Linked DNA regions of Sus scrofa. The protein of the gene in region 3 interacts with the protein of the main gene of each other region in a pairwise test. Links are inferred from orthologs where the notes say so. Each region holds a gene or a part of one and is shown on either strand. Other genes may lie near its edges.

Region 1 (4,289 bases), on a different chromosome or scaffold from region 3:
GTCCTTTAAAAATGTAGCTAAAAATACTAAGTATATGATTTCGTTAGGCTTTTAACTCCAGTTCCTAGTTGACTATCCTCCCCGCCCTCCATCTGAACTCTCAATCTGTTTACATGGGTGAACGATTGTTTTGCCCTATTCCTGCATCCTATTGAAAATAAATTCAGGAGATCCCGTGGCGCAGCAGAAACTAATCCAACTAGGAACCATGCCTGAGGTTGCAGTTAGATCCCTGGCCTTGTTGAGCTGTGGAGTAGGTCGCAGATACGGCTTGGAGCCTGAGTTGCTGTGGCTGTGGTGTAGGCCGGATTCCACCCCTGGCCTGGGAAACTCCATACGCCTCGGATGAGGCCCTAAAAAGAAAAAAAAGAAAATTCAGAATAACCTTACCTTCACTGTCAGATAAATTAAAAGGGGAAACTGCATCCTAAACAGAATATTTCTAATTCTTATGGGTTGATACAGGCTCACCCGCAGATCATTTTTTTTTTTAACACTTGAAAGATGCTGCAATCATCCCAATTTTTTCCAGAGGCGTTAGCTCGAGGCAAGTGAACCCCACTCACCCCTGATAAATGATTAACGTTGACACGTGTTTGGAACTACAAACGCTGGAAGGTGCCGAACAAGGCGCTCAGAATGAGGAAACTGAAATAACAGTAGGGCTGCTGTTTCCCAGGTTTCTAAGGAGATGGGCACTGCGGCCTCGACCAACCAAAGTCCAGCGGGCCAGGGGATCTGAGTCGGGCCAAGCCACTGAGGGGCTTAGCAGAAAAAGTAGCTGGCAGAGCGCTCTGCTCGCACCGGAGGCGGCGCGCCAGTCCGACCAGACCGCGAAAGGCTCGGGGCTCCTCGCCCGAAACGAACCAGATTGGAGCCCGGACCGCAGAGCGTAACTGGCCGGCAATCGGGGTACCTCGCGCGCGTCCGCCGGCCGGCCTGCGCTTCGGCTCCGCGCGCGGGGAAAAGAGCGCGGCAGTTGAAACCGTTACCACCCCCGAGTTTTGAACTGGTTCAAACTTGGCTATCGGCCCCGCCCCGCCCCTCCGGCCCGGGAACTCTGAGGCTGCCGGCGGTTCCCGCCAAGCGCCGCGAGCGCGCCGTCCCGCCCCCTGGTCGGTTCCCGCCATCCTGCCCTGGCCGCCTCCCGCCCGCGGCCCGGGATTCGGGCTGCAGAGGCCCCATCGTCCCAGCCAGCCGACCCACCGCCTTCCTGAGAGGCGCCGTGCGTTCGGCGAAAGAACAAAGAGACGGCGCAGCGCTTCCACTCGGCGGCCGCGTCCCTCAGCGCCCGCCCGCTCGCGCGCACGCGCCGCCGGCCCGGCCCGGCTGAGTCCCGCGGGCTCCTCTGCGTGGGGCTGGCTCGCCGCCACGGAGCCCGGCGGGCCTTGTGATTGGACGGGAGCCCGCCTCGCGGCCCGCCAATCGGGGCGGCGCTTAGTTGGACAGGGGGGGCCAAATAAAAGCGATGGCGATTGGGCTGCCGGGTTTGGCGCTTGGTCCGGGAGCGTCCGACACCCACTGGGACGCAGAAGGCGGTGGAAGCCCGGCGGCGGTGGTGGCGCGCGGGAGCGGCGCGCGGGAGCGGAGCGGGCTGGGGCGCGGGGCTCAGGTAGCGTGCCGCTGTCGGGCCGGCCGGCCAGCGGGGCTCCGAAGCTCGGTGAGGGGCGGCGGCGGCGCCGGGATATCCCCGCCACCCCTCCGGGTATCGCCCAGAGCGGGCTTTCCCGGGGCGCCGCTTTGGCTGGAGGGGTGAGAGGAGACCCCTCGGAAGGGGCCGTGGCTTTGGGCTGGCCCGCGCGACCGCGGGGGCGGGCAGCGCCGCACCTGGCGACCTAAGGCGGGACCCCGGGCGGGCGCCCTGGGGGGCGAGCCGAGGGGTCTTCTCGCGCGCCCGCCCTTCGGGAGGCGCGGCGGCTGGGCTGGGGGCGCTCCGGTGCTCGGGGCGGGCCGGCCGCCCGAGCCCCTGTCTCCTTTGTGTGGAGCGTCGCGGCGGGAGCGCCCGGGTGGGACGGGACGCACACAAGTTGGTGGGACCTCGGCACCGAGTGCACACTCAGACAAAGGACGGACTGTGTCTCGGGGGAGCTCGGCGCGGGGAAGGGGCAGTGACACCCGGGCCTGACAGCGGGCGGGAGAGGGGCGTGGGGAGCGCGGGCCGCGGCGCAGGGGGCGGGCTGGGCCCCACGCCCCCTCCCCGCGAGCGCGCAGGCTCGGCCGGGGCCGAGGGGGCCGGGGCGGCGCTGGGAACCGAACTCGGAGCGGCTGCGGGTCTGACATTTCCCCGGAAAGCACCCCCGAACCCCTCGTCTCCACCCGCTCTGACGAGGCGGTCCCGGCCGCCTTTACCCCCTCGGCTGGCTTTCTGTTAAGTTTGAGGAAGGGTCGAGCCGTTCTCCCCCCGCTCGGTTTTGTTCGTTTCGGAGGGCTTTTCGTCGAGTTTCCGCGTCATTGTCCACCCCCCCAAAAAAAGTCGGTGCCATCAGGTCCCTTTTTGAAAATTGGAGGAATCGAGAAGCATGATATTTTGAAATGAAAACTTGGTGAACTCACGCCTGCTGAGTTCCCGCTTTCTAAAGAATCATATTTTTTTTAAAAAATTACATGCTCTTTCGGCCAACTTATGTGATACATCTGAGACTGGCGACAGGTGCTAACGAAATCAACTGTCATTTAGTAAGAGATTATTCTCCAAATCCCCAGGGATTGAATGAGGATGCGATGGTAGAAAGAATTGATCAAGCAAAATGTTTATGACAAATGTGTGTTTAGGTGGTCTGGTTAGCAATTCGTCATTAATTGGTCTTGTTTTCCGTGAACAATAGCTTTGTTGAGTCAGAAAAGACTGACTACAGAAATGTTTGTTGCCTAAGAAATTGAACGTGTGCTGTCCACAGTTAAGCTAAACTTCCTTTGTTTGTCACACAGGATCTGTAAAATTTAAGTCATTTGGAAACAAAGATATGTCTTTGGTATTTAAAAATATTTTACTTCAAGGTTTACTTTCTGGGTTTTAAAGGTCATTTATCGGATTAATTTTGTGGCTTTTTAATGTCACATAAAACACCATTTAAGAAAATCTTTAAAAAACACTAATGCTGATACAGTTGAATGTAGGCTATACTTCTAAGGGATTTTAAGAGCGTGTGGGATCCTAACCATTAGACCACCAGGGAGCTAGGGGGTTTGGAGTTTATTTTCCACTACTCTTCATTCATCACCGTTAGCAACTATTTTATGTTTGGAAATAAAATGTAGAACAAGTGTGTAATCCTAACAAGTTTATTGATAATTTTATTTCAAGAAAATGAAAGTATTTATGACCTATTTTAATTTCCTTTTCATATTACCTAAAGTTAGGAGTAGGTAGGGTTCTAGTCCTGGATGTAAAGAATCCTTTCTCTCTTTGTGGTGGTGTATTTGGGAATTTAATGCTTAAGTTCTTGAAAACACTTAGGAAAATGGCATCTTAAATTCTAGTCTTTGTGGCAGGGGAATATCTTCAAAGAAGAGGAATTTAGGAACATAGCACCGATTTGCATTGTTCTATCTGATGATCTAATGTTCACCCTACCATCTTACGGTTTCATAAATATGGAGACAAAGAAATGCAGTGTAAAAGTCTTTATTACATATTTTGCAGTGTTAGACACCGCTGAACAGACATTCCAGGTGCTGTCCTAAGTATTGTTTACTGTATTAGTTGCTAGTAATTATCTATTAAAAAGTCCTCCTGATAATCTGGCCTCTTGTTATAAGATGAGCTAGTTAGGGAGATTTTGGTAGATATTTGGATCTTTTAGGATAAGAAATTGCAGTTTTTCCTTACTTGTTTGTGTACACTATATTTGGCAATTACTGTCTTTGTAGTTGCCACAAGATTTATTTTTAAGTTTTTTTGGGGGAATTGGTTTTTAATTTTTTATTTGATTTGAAAATGTATTTAAGTAGCAGTGATTAAAAAAACCACACTTGTTGATTTAGTGAAGTTAGGCACACAAAAAAGCTGTAATACTTTGATATCAGCTTTGCCTTGCACACATACATATAGGTGATTGTCTTTGTGTTGGCCACTTAAAATTTTTAGGCAGATTTCCCCAGGTTACACTGAGGCTTTCTAGGATATCTTCCATCCTTTGAGCTGGCATGCTTAAGGAGAACGAATTAGTTTCCATCTTGGCCTAAAAAGCGGTAATTAAGAAAGTTGATTTTTTAAAAAATCAACAGCAATAAAAAAATCCTCTGATCTCATGCATTCTGGGGTTAATTAGAAATGACCAGTGGATTTG
Region 2 (4,011 bases), on a different chromosome or scaffold from region 3:
CCCACCCTGGAGGGGTTCTCCCTCTGGGCTGCAGGAGGGAGGGAGGAGGGAGGCTGAGGGGTGACTGCCTGGGAGGGCCCCGGGCCCAGGCCCCCCTCCCCCTCTGGCCTGCCCAAGGCACCTGAAGCTCTGGGGACTTCTGGCTGAGGTCAGCAAAGGCATCCCCCAGTGCATGCTGGGTCTGCAGCAGGCTGTAGAGGTGGGCTGTCAGGGCCCGGCCCAGCTGCAGGACACTCTCATACTTGCGCTTCGTCTCACGCAGCAGCTCAATTTGCAGCTCTAGCTCCAGGTCCACAGTCCGGGAGCCTCGGCCAAACCGCTCTGATAACAGCTGCTTTGTGCACTGAGTGGGAAGTGGGGGAACAGGTCAGAGACCCTGGCGCCCGGCCCTGCCCCGCAGCAAGTGTCTACCCCGGCGTCCCCAGACTCCAAGTCTCAGCCCGAGATGATGGGACAGGAGGATCCGCAAGATGGGGAAGAGGTACCCGGGGGAGCTCAGGGGGCGGAGGAGGTGCGTGAATCCCACCTTATACGTGTTGATGCCCCATTTCTTGACGATGTCGAACTTCTCTCCAGCGATGCCCCGGGCCACCTCATCCCCGGGGCCAGCAGGAGGGGCGCTGTGAGATGGATGGCGGCCAGACCCTAAAGGACCAAGTTCTCTGACACCAGCCTCTCTCAGACACAATCCGACGCCTCTGTGGTTCCACCCACACTTCCCTCCCAGCACATGAAAATGACGCCCCGGAAGGAGCAGGGCTGGAGACTCACTAGGAGGAATTCATGCCTTGGACCCTGAGACCCAATCCCAACATACACCTGGCCTCCTTTTGACGTGGAGGTGAGGACTGGAAAGGGAGGTGGGAGGGGTTGCTCGTGTGCAGGGGCAGAGGAAACAGCGGAGACTAGGCTGAGAATGGGGTCGCTGACCATGGCTGGGCGCCCCTCGAACCGAACACCTGGCTGACATTCCCATGTGGATCCCAGTCACTGCGAGATTCAGGGCTGCTTGTTCCTCTAAATAGCAGAGTCTAACGTAAGACTCTGATAAGCCTCTCAAAGCTCCAAATCAGATTCAAGCTCCAGAGCAGGGGAGGCCTGGTGAACAGAGTTCTCTGCCTGACTCAGGTAGTGACGGCAGAGAAGGGACAAGTGGGCATATCTGAGGGACAAAGTGGCAAGTGGAGGCAGATGGACACCCCTGGGAACGGGCCTTGGGCTGAGATGCCCGCGGGTTCATCCTGGCAGAGGTTCCCACGAGCTCCAGACATGATTCACGCCTTCTTAGACGTATCCTATGCCCCCTGGAGCCAGTCCTCTTCCCCTCTCCACTCAATGCCCTATCCTGCTCTGATCATTCATACCTGTGGGGATGAGTCCATCACCAGAGCCCCCATAGCCACCAGACACAATGCTGGTTTCATTGAGGTTGGGTCCTGACACCATCACCTGCTGGAGGTCCTATAGGCCAGAGAAGAGGGGGGCTTCAGGAACATATGGGCAGCTGAAGCATTTTGGGGGTGAAAACAAGCTTGGATTGAAGCATCATAGAGAGAGCACACAAGGGAAGTCTGCACAGAATCAGAACAAAGATTGGTAAAAAGACTGAAGGAAATCAGGTGAGTTGGGGGAAGGCTACTGGAAGAAGGAGAGAGCTCAGGGTTTAAGAGTTGGGATTCCTCAACTGAAACAATGTGAAGAATCAAACAGAAGCACCTGCTCCAGCCCATCATCCTCAGGAAGCTGCCCCGCGTCACCATTCCCGTGGATGGGGATCTCCATTGTGGCTGCCTTCCCTAGGATCCCGTCCGTCATGGCGAGCGAAGGGACTGGAGTCAAAGTCTCCACCCCAGCGCCCTGCAAAGCCCAACACAGACAGTTCTGGAAACGGGCCAGTTCTCCGAAGAGGAAGGTCTCCCCTGCCCTTGCAGAGGCCGTCCCGGGGCTTCAGTGTGGTGGGGTCTGCCCACCACTCTTCCCTCGGGGCTTTGTCTTTCTCCCTTCCAAGGTGCAAAGTTTTACACACAGGCACCCAGGCCTCAGGTGTGCCTGACCAGAGGTCATGTTCTCATGACCCCCCCACCCCCACCCCCCCAGCAGTCCAGGGATCATTCATGCATTCAGTCCTTCCACAGACATTTAATGAGTGCCTACTACATGCCACGCACTATTTGAGGCAATGGAGAGAAAGCCTGTGCTCTCAAGCAGCTTATCCCCACGCAGGTATTCCTCCTCATCAGGAGACAATCCCTTTCCCAGCGCTCAGGTGCCTATCCCCGTTCAGGTATGTTCGCCATTGTTTGGCCTTTCACACTCCTCTAATGTCTCCTCCTCTTTCCTGCAGGTGGTCTCCCCCTCCTCCATCCCATGCACCCCCTCTTCCTGCCCCCACCCCCGCCCCAGGCCTTAGTTGAATCAGTTGGTGTAAGTTCCCGACCCCGGGGAAAAGTCCCTTTGCCCCAGGACATAGGGAGGTGATCCCTTCCAAAGTCAGTTAGGTCTCCCCAGGTGTGTGAGTCTCCGCCCTCCCCCCATACACCTGGGCGTCAGGTGTGTCCTCATCCTTTCCCAGGGCTCAGAAGCATCTTGCCCTCAGGTCAGGTTCGTGCGTTCACCTTGCCCTCGCCCATGCACGTCCCTCTCACCTCGGGCCGGGCCGCTCTTCCCCTCAGGGCGCCAGGCCCGGGCCGCGCGGGGATCTCGGGATCCAGTTCCCGTCGCGATCCTAGCAGCAGGTCAGGGACTCGGCGGAAGTGACGTCCTCTCCCGGGCAGAAGAAGCCGGCCACGTAGCCGATTATGAGGGCGGAAGTGACGTCGCGGGGAGGTGGGCGGGCGCTCCTTGAGCCAACCCCTCTGCCCCTGGGGAGCCATTGAGGTCACTTCCGGGGCGTTCCCTAGAAGCTGTAACGGAAGTGACGTAGGTTGTGCGCCGGCGGCGTGATGGAACAGCAACAGCAGCAGCAGCAGCAGCTGAGAAACGTGAGTGGGAGCTAAGTCGCTTAAGGGCCCTGCATCCAGCTAGCATCCCTGTTCGCATGGCGGAAACCCCAGAGAGCCAGGCATCCAAGGGCTGGGAACCACGGGCCGTGGTACACGGTCCTGGGAAAGCGCCGGCAGCGCGGCCTTGAGTTGAGACGTGGCCCCCTCTTCGCTGAGTTCCTTGTCCCCCTTCCTCCCCAGTTGCGGGACTTCCTGTTGGTCTACAATCGGATGACGGAACTCTGCTTCCAGCGCTGCGTGCCCAGCCTGCATCACCGAGCTCTGGATGCCGAGGAGGTTAGGTGGGGGAACTGAGTAGGGAAGTGCTCCTCGAGCCTCAGAGCTAACCGTGCACTGCTTCCCTCTCCCGTCAATTCCCCTACGTCCGGCCCTGGCTTCCCACGACCTCCGCCCTGAGGCTGGGGATGGGAAGGAGGGAAACGGACCTGACTGGACACCTTTGGCTTCTACTTCCACCCTGTCTTCCTTCCAGGAGGCCTGTCTGCACAGCTGTGCCGGGAAGCTGATCCATTCCAACCACCGCCTCATGGCCGCTTACGTGCAGCTCATGCCTGCCCTGGTACAGCGCCGCATCGCTGACTACGAGGCTGCCTCAGCTGTGCCAGGTGTTGCTGCTGAACAGCCAGAAGCCTCGCCATCTGGCAGCTAGCTGTCCTCAACGCTGAGAAGGGAGGCACTGGATGGACCCTCACGTTGAAGGAGCAGTGGACCTTGGGCAAGATGGAGCCTGTATGTAGAGAATGAGGAGTTGCCTGAGAGCTAGGTACTGTTGCTCCTTTTCCTGGAGCTAATAAACCTGCTGTAATCTGTGCGGTTGATATTCTGGGCAGGGAGAAGTTGCCTTCTGTGTGTGGAAGGAAAACCTCAGCATTCCCAGGCACCTGGTTAAAGGAAGGTCTGTGGGTACAGCTTTAAAATTGGCAACAAGACGCTGGTTCGTGCCCAGACGGCAGAGAAAATGGGAACTCTGTCCTTAAATCTGTCTGACTTAAATGGTTCGCTTAGAGAT
Region 3 (5,279 bases):
GCAAGCTTTATACATAAGAAAAAAAGTAACCATGTTAATAACATTAGGTACCATGACTTTCAGCAAAAGAGAAAAGGATACATATTAAATAAGTTGTTTTTAAAAAATTATAAAATTAAATTGGGAGGTTCCTGTTGTGGCTCAGCAGTAAAGAACCTGACTAGTATCCATGAGGACGCTGTTCCATCCCTGGCCTTGCTCAGTGGGTTAAGGATCTGGTGTTGCCCTGAGCTGCAGTGGAGGTTGAAGATGCAACTCCGATCTGGCTTTGCTGTGGCTGTGGCGTAAGCCAGAAGCTGCAGCTCCAATTCAACCCCTAGCCTGGGAACTTCCATATGCCATGAGTGTGGCCCTAAAAAGAAAAATAAATAAATAAATAAATAGGAAATATCAGTGTGAGTAAATAAATAATAAATTAGAAATATCATGTGAATTCTGTGTATTTCTCTTCAAGAAAAAAAGTACATATTTCCTAACTTCGAGCACTAAATCCTAAAACCAATGGCCAGCCTAGCAGCAAGTATACCTCTAGTATCCACTCAAAGGAATCAGGGCTTCTTAGTGGTCGGAAATATACAAATAAGCCAATAACACCTTTTACTCAACAATAAGGAAACTCTCAAAGTGGACAAAAGACAACTTATTCAGGCTACTACTGGCCAACAACAGGACAAGTTAAGTACCCAACCCCCCCCCAAAACCCGCACTAGGTTGAAACAGTTTAAATATATTCAAGTCTGTAAGTTCATGATGATTTTTTTAAAAAAAAGGCAAAACGCTCATGGTTACCTTTGGAGATTGCTAGGCCACCAACTCATTACTGTACTCTGGAAATAGAGGGAAAGAATTCAGCATTTTTCTTGTCTTTCCTATACAAACTGTATTGCAAACAGCTGGCGGGGTAGTCAAATAGCTTGCTGAAGTAAAAAGTTCTTCTTCACAAAAAATTTCCAGCTAATTAAATACTGAGGATAGAATCAAAGAATCACCATATTGCAAACTCTAATGCAATAATGGATATAAGCAATCTAAATCCAGGACAGGATCTCACCATTAAGTGAAAGGTTCACAGGGAATTTCATCATGGATAAACTGGACTGACAACACCTGAACCCCCATAGCTGCCCAGTTGTAACACCAAAGAGAAAAAACTTGGACATTACTGTTTTGCACCAACTATGAAATCTTGCCCCACCCTCACCCTTCCCAAAGAGTCAAGGCTGAATCTGATCGAGTTTCTAGATCAGTACTGTTCAAAAGACCTTTATGCAATTATGGAAATCTTTATATATACAATTCAAATAGTAGCCATTAGGCATCTGTGACTATCATGCACTTGAAATGTGGCCAATGCAACTAGGGAACTGAAATTTTTGGGGTTTTTTCCTATTTTAATTCATTTAGACAGCCATAGCTGGCTGGTGCCTGCTATATTAGACAGGGCAATTCTAGACCTTACTACCAGTTTAAAGGTGATAAAGGGAATAGATATATAAGTTAAAGGATACTATGTGGATGCAATCAACTAAATCTAGAATGTTAAGGGAAATAAGGGAGGCAACAAAACTGCCATATAAAAAACTTCTAAAAGGTGTATCAACCCAATGCAACAAATGGGTCTCTAAAGGACTTTGATCCAAACAAGCTAACTGTAAAAACACGTATTTGGGACAATTGGGGAAATCCAAACTCAGACTAAATATTGACATTTCGGGTATTTTACTAATTGTCATAGATGTGATGACAGTAATACAATTTTGTAAAACTGAAAACACTAATTATTGAAGGAAGAAAGCCTAAAATACCATAAAGACCAAAAATTCAATTCCTGAAACATATGTCAACGCTGGCTTTAGGTGAATTTCAAATCAAGTTAATATACATTTAAAAGTAGGAAGTTCTGATAAAGTGGACTACTACTGATGCTGTCACCACCTACCACCACTAGTACACAAGTAAGAACAGGTAGGATCAAGCAAGAGTGTTCTACCTTTAATGGGAGAAGAGTGGCTTCAGTACTATTAATATACACAATTACTAGAAATAATTTTAAAAACTGAATCAACATACATTTTAAAGTGCAGTTCATTTTAAAGTGAAAGTTTATAAATGTCTAACCCGTTTTAATTTGTCTTTCTTACTAATCACTGATAATGATATAATCAAAAGGCAGAATAAAAATCCATCTAAAAATGATATGGGGAGTTCCCCTCGTGGCACAGTGGTTAACGAATCCGACTAGGAACCATGAGGTTGCGGGTTCGGTCCCTGCCCTTGCTCAGTGGGTTAACGATCCGGCTTTGCCATGAGCTGTGGTGTAGGTTGCAGACGCGGCTCGGATCCCGCGTTGCTGTGGCTCTGGCGTAGGCAGGTGGCTACAGCTCCGATTCAACCCCTAGCCTGGGAACCTCCATATGCCGCAGGAGCGGCCCAAGAAATAGCAAAAAGACAAAAAAAAAAAAAAAAGGATACGGTATTCAAAATAAAACACATACACTTTATTATATAATTAAGCTACAGTTGTGATCAGTATAAATATAAATATTCGAAGGTAGCATGTAGTTAATAATCCTTGATTTCCTCTTCATGTCTAGAAAATTAAATGCACGCATGTGGGAAACTATTACCACAGGGCACTAACCCTACAATACTGCTTTATTAAAAGAAGAAAAAATTCTTAAAGACTGGTTTAAGGAACTGTCTGTAAGGCTCAAGGAAAACTACTTTGTGCAAAGAAATGTACTGTAATTGCAAAGGAAGAGTAGTCGCTGACAGCGGACTCATCTTTACTGTTTCAAGAAGCATAAGAAAAACCTCATTATAAGCCTAGATTTACCGCCTTAAAGTATCTTGATGATTAAAGTGTTCTAAGGACCTATACCTTTTATTTCCTCAATTTATCATTTATTTCCCATCCCTGATTTGTATGGATCCCTAAGTCCAGGGTTCCCCAATTGAGTCCTTCATGTTTTCTGCCACATTTCTGTACCTCCAATACGTTTTTAACCAACTCACTTTTTAAAACTTGCTAAACTTCCCACCCGTGAATGAACCGCTATCACCTGCCATCAATGACCTAAGTCGCAACAATGCTAAGAAGCTAACCAGATGAGGCAGCCCAGGCGAGAGGGCCTTGCCGAGGATCCCTCCCCTGAAGTGGAAGAGTGGCCCGCGGCTAACTCCGCTCCGGGAAGACGAGCAGCTCGCCCACCCCGCCGCCCTCCCGCCGGCCCGGTCTCTAGGTAAGAGCTGACCACCTGGCTGGCCGGGACCGCACGCCGAGGGAGGCCATATCCGGCTTCGCGGGTCAGCCGGGCGTCAGCGAAAAGGCCGGGGGGCGGGGCGCCGGGGCGGAGCCGGGCCGGCGGGGGCGGGCCTGGAGGCCAGCGGGCGGCTGAGGAAGCAGGCCCCAGGCCATTCGGCCGCTCGGCCCGCGGCCCCACCGCAGCCAGGGCTACCTCCAGGCCCAGAGACGGCCGCCCCTCGCCCGTCCGACGTTCGCAATGCGGTTAAGGGCTGCCGCGAGCGCTCCCCGAGCCTTCCCGCCGTTACCTACGGCTGGGGGTGCGCACGCGCGGCACCGCCAACCTGACGTCCAGCCACAGCAGTCAGCACGTTCGTTTTGCCCACTGCTCCTTCACTTTTAATTAAAACAATGTCCTCCCTAACTCCCCCTGTGCTCCGGCAAATGGGCTCACCCACATCCGGGGATCGGAAAGTGAAGGACGTCTGGGTCACGTGATGCTGAGGGCGCGGTCGGCGGGGGTGTGTGACACGCTGGGTTTGGGGCTGGTAAAAGGGTTTGCGCGCACGTAATGTAGGGTCTGGAGATACGGGAGCGCGTTCGGACTCCTGCCGTTTCTCTTGGCTTAGGTCGTTGTTTTCACATCATCCTCTCCCTCCTAACCACTTCTCTTACCACACGTTGGGCGGGGAGGAGGGGAACTTGCTTGGCTGTCCGGACCCCCCCCCCTCGCTTCCGCATTTGGTATATCCCGCCTCGGGCCGGAAGCCGTGGCTGTGGGGCGGCCTCCCAGGCCTGTATGGACGGTGGTGGCCCGAGAGGGTCATTTCTAGCGAGGGAAAAGGCGTCCCAGTTTTGCTCATGTAACTGCATGTTTCACAGAGCTCTAAAGCAGAGATGAATAAAACTGCCCTCCCCCCGGGAAACGCAGGCGTCTCGTGTCTGGAAAGACCGTGTGACAGGCAATATACCAAGATCCTGATGGGGATCATTCTCTGTGCCCAGAGAACTATGGGACCCGCGGAGGGGCGGGGACTGCGCTCTTCTGGCTCTTAGAGAACGACTCCTGCAGAAGACGACCTGGGAGCTAAATTTTTTGGACAGTTTGGGGTTAGCTGGGGAAAAAAGGAAGAAGACAGAGCATTCCAGGCATTGGGACAGTCGTATGTGTAAGAAAACTTTGTTCAGGAAAGTGGTAATGCTTCATTCTGTTGAGTGAGGCAAGTGTTTGAGACGTAGTCATTTCCTGGTCATTGCCCCTCTTTGCCCGTCTTGTGCTTTCCTTTTTTCCAGCCCCTGAAGAGAGAAGGCACCTTAGCGCCTAACTCTGGAAATGGCATGTTGGTTCTGATGAGCTGACGCCAGCTTTGAGTTTGGAAGGAAAAATGGGTGTGTTAGTGATGGGGTAAAGAACTTTGAGTGCAAAGGCTGGAAAGGATAACAGAGTTAGAGGTGTTCGGAAGAGGGACAGGTGAAAAAAGATTGAGGCCAAATTGAGGAAAGATGTGCTGAGTCACTGACAAAAAATTTTACTACACACAGCAATTGGAAGCAGTAATACCTGAGCAGTTGGTCACAAAGTCGACCTGACTTGGTTAGTAGATCATAAGGACAAAAGGTAGATCAAGGGCAGGATGTGGGCTGAAGCTGGAGTGATCTGAGAAACCCTTACAGAAAGGTGGGATCTGTGTGTGACTGGGAAAATCAGCTGGAAGGGACTGTGATCTTGTAAATAACCTGACCCGGATGAGATGAGTCTTTCCCAAAGTGATATCATGCCAAAAGACACATCCAGGCTAAAAAGCTTGGAGAACCCCTAGTGCTAGATTACATCATCTCCTCATGCTTAAGAAATAACCTCTTTGGCTTTCAGATCTGGCAAGAGCAAAGCTGCAGGAAAATGGACAGTGAGGTACAGAGAGATGGAAGGATCTTGGATTTGATTGACGATGCTTGGCGAGAGGACAAGCTGCCTTATGAAGATGTTGCAATACCACTGGTAGGCCCCTGCTTATTCTGAGGTGATGGGTTAAAG

The links.
Region 1: the proteins of CEP63 (region 3) and EZH2 interact in binary tests that used the Homo sapiens proteins (3 or more experiments, as listed by UniProt). The two-hybrid records come from large-scale screens. The link is inferred for Sus scrofa from reciprocal best matches to the Homo sapiens genes CEP63 and EZH2.
Region 2: the proteins of CEP63 (region 3) and ARFIP2 interact in binary tests that used the Homo sapiens proteins (3 or more experiments, as listed by UniProt). The link is inferred for Sus scrofa from reciprocal best matches to the Homo sapiens genes CEP63 and ARFIP2.

Annotation. Positions count from the first base shown.
Region 1 is NC_010451.4:109,383,527-109,387,815, forward strand, and holds the start of EZH2 (histone-lysine N-methyltransferase EZH2), read left to right. Parts: upstream 1-1,489; 5' UTR 1,490-1,612; intron 1,613-1,636; exon of another isoform or gene 1,637-1,660; intron 1,661-4,289. UniProt on the Homo sapiens protein: Polycomb group (PcG) protein. Catalytic subunit of the PRC2/EED-EZH2 complex, which methylates 'Lys-9' (H3K9me) and 'Lys-27' (H3K27me) of histone H3, leading to transcriptional repression of the affected target gene.
Region 2 is NC_010451.4:3,248,800-3,252,810, reverse strand, and holds the start of ARFIP2 (arfaptin-2), read right to left. Parts: upstream 2,801-4,011; 5' UTR 2,646-2,800; intron 1,858-2,645; 5' UTR 1,816-1,857; coding exon 1,717-1,815; intron 1,462-1,716; coding exon 1,365-1,461; intron 646-1,364; coding exon 527-645; intron 344-526; coding exon 122-343; intron 1-121. Other genes in the region: TIMM10B (mitochondrial import inner membrane translocase subunit Tim10 B), read left to right, coding at 2,943-2,981, 3,183-3,278, 3,475-3,651. UniProt on the Homo sapiens protein: Plays a role in constitutive metalloproteinase (MMP) secretion from the trans Golgi network. May have important functions during vesicle biogenesis at certain cargo subdomains, which could be predominantly utilized by secreted MMPs, such as MMP7 and MMP2.
Region 3 is NC_010455.5:75,604,126-75,609,404, reverse strand, and holds the start of CEP63 (centrosomal protein of 63 kDa), read right to left. Parts: upstream 3,365-5,279; 5' UTR 3,293-3,364; coding exon 3,258-3,292; intron 3,225-3,257; exon of another isoform or gene 3,106-3,224; intron 828-3,105; exon of another isoform or gene 819-827; coding exon of another isoform or gene 790-818; intron 1-789. Other genes in the region: ANAPC13 (anaphase-promoting complex subunit 13), read left to right, coding at 5,145-5,243. UniProt on the Homo sapiens protein: Required for normal spindle assembly.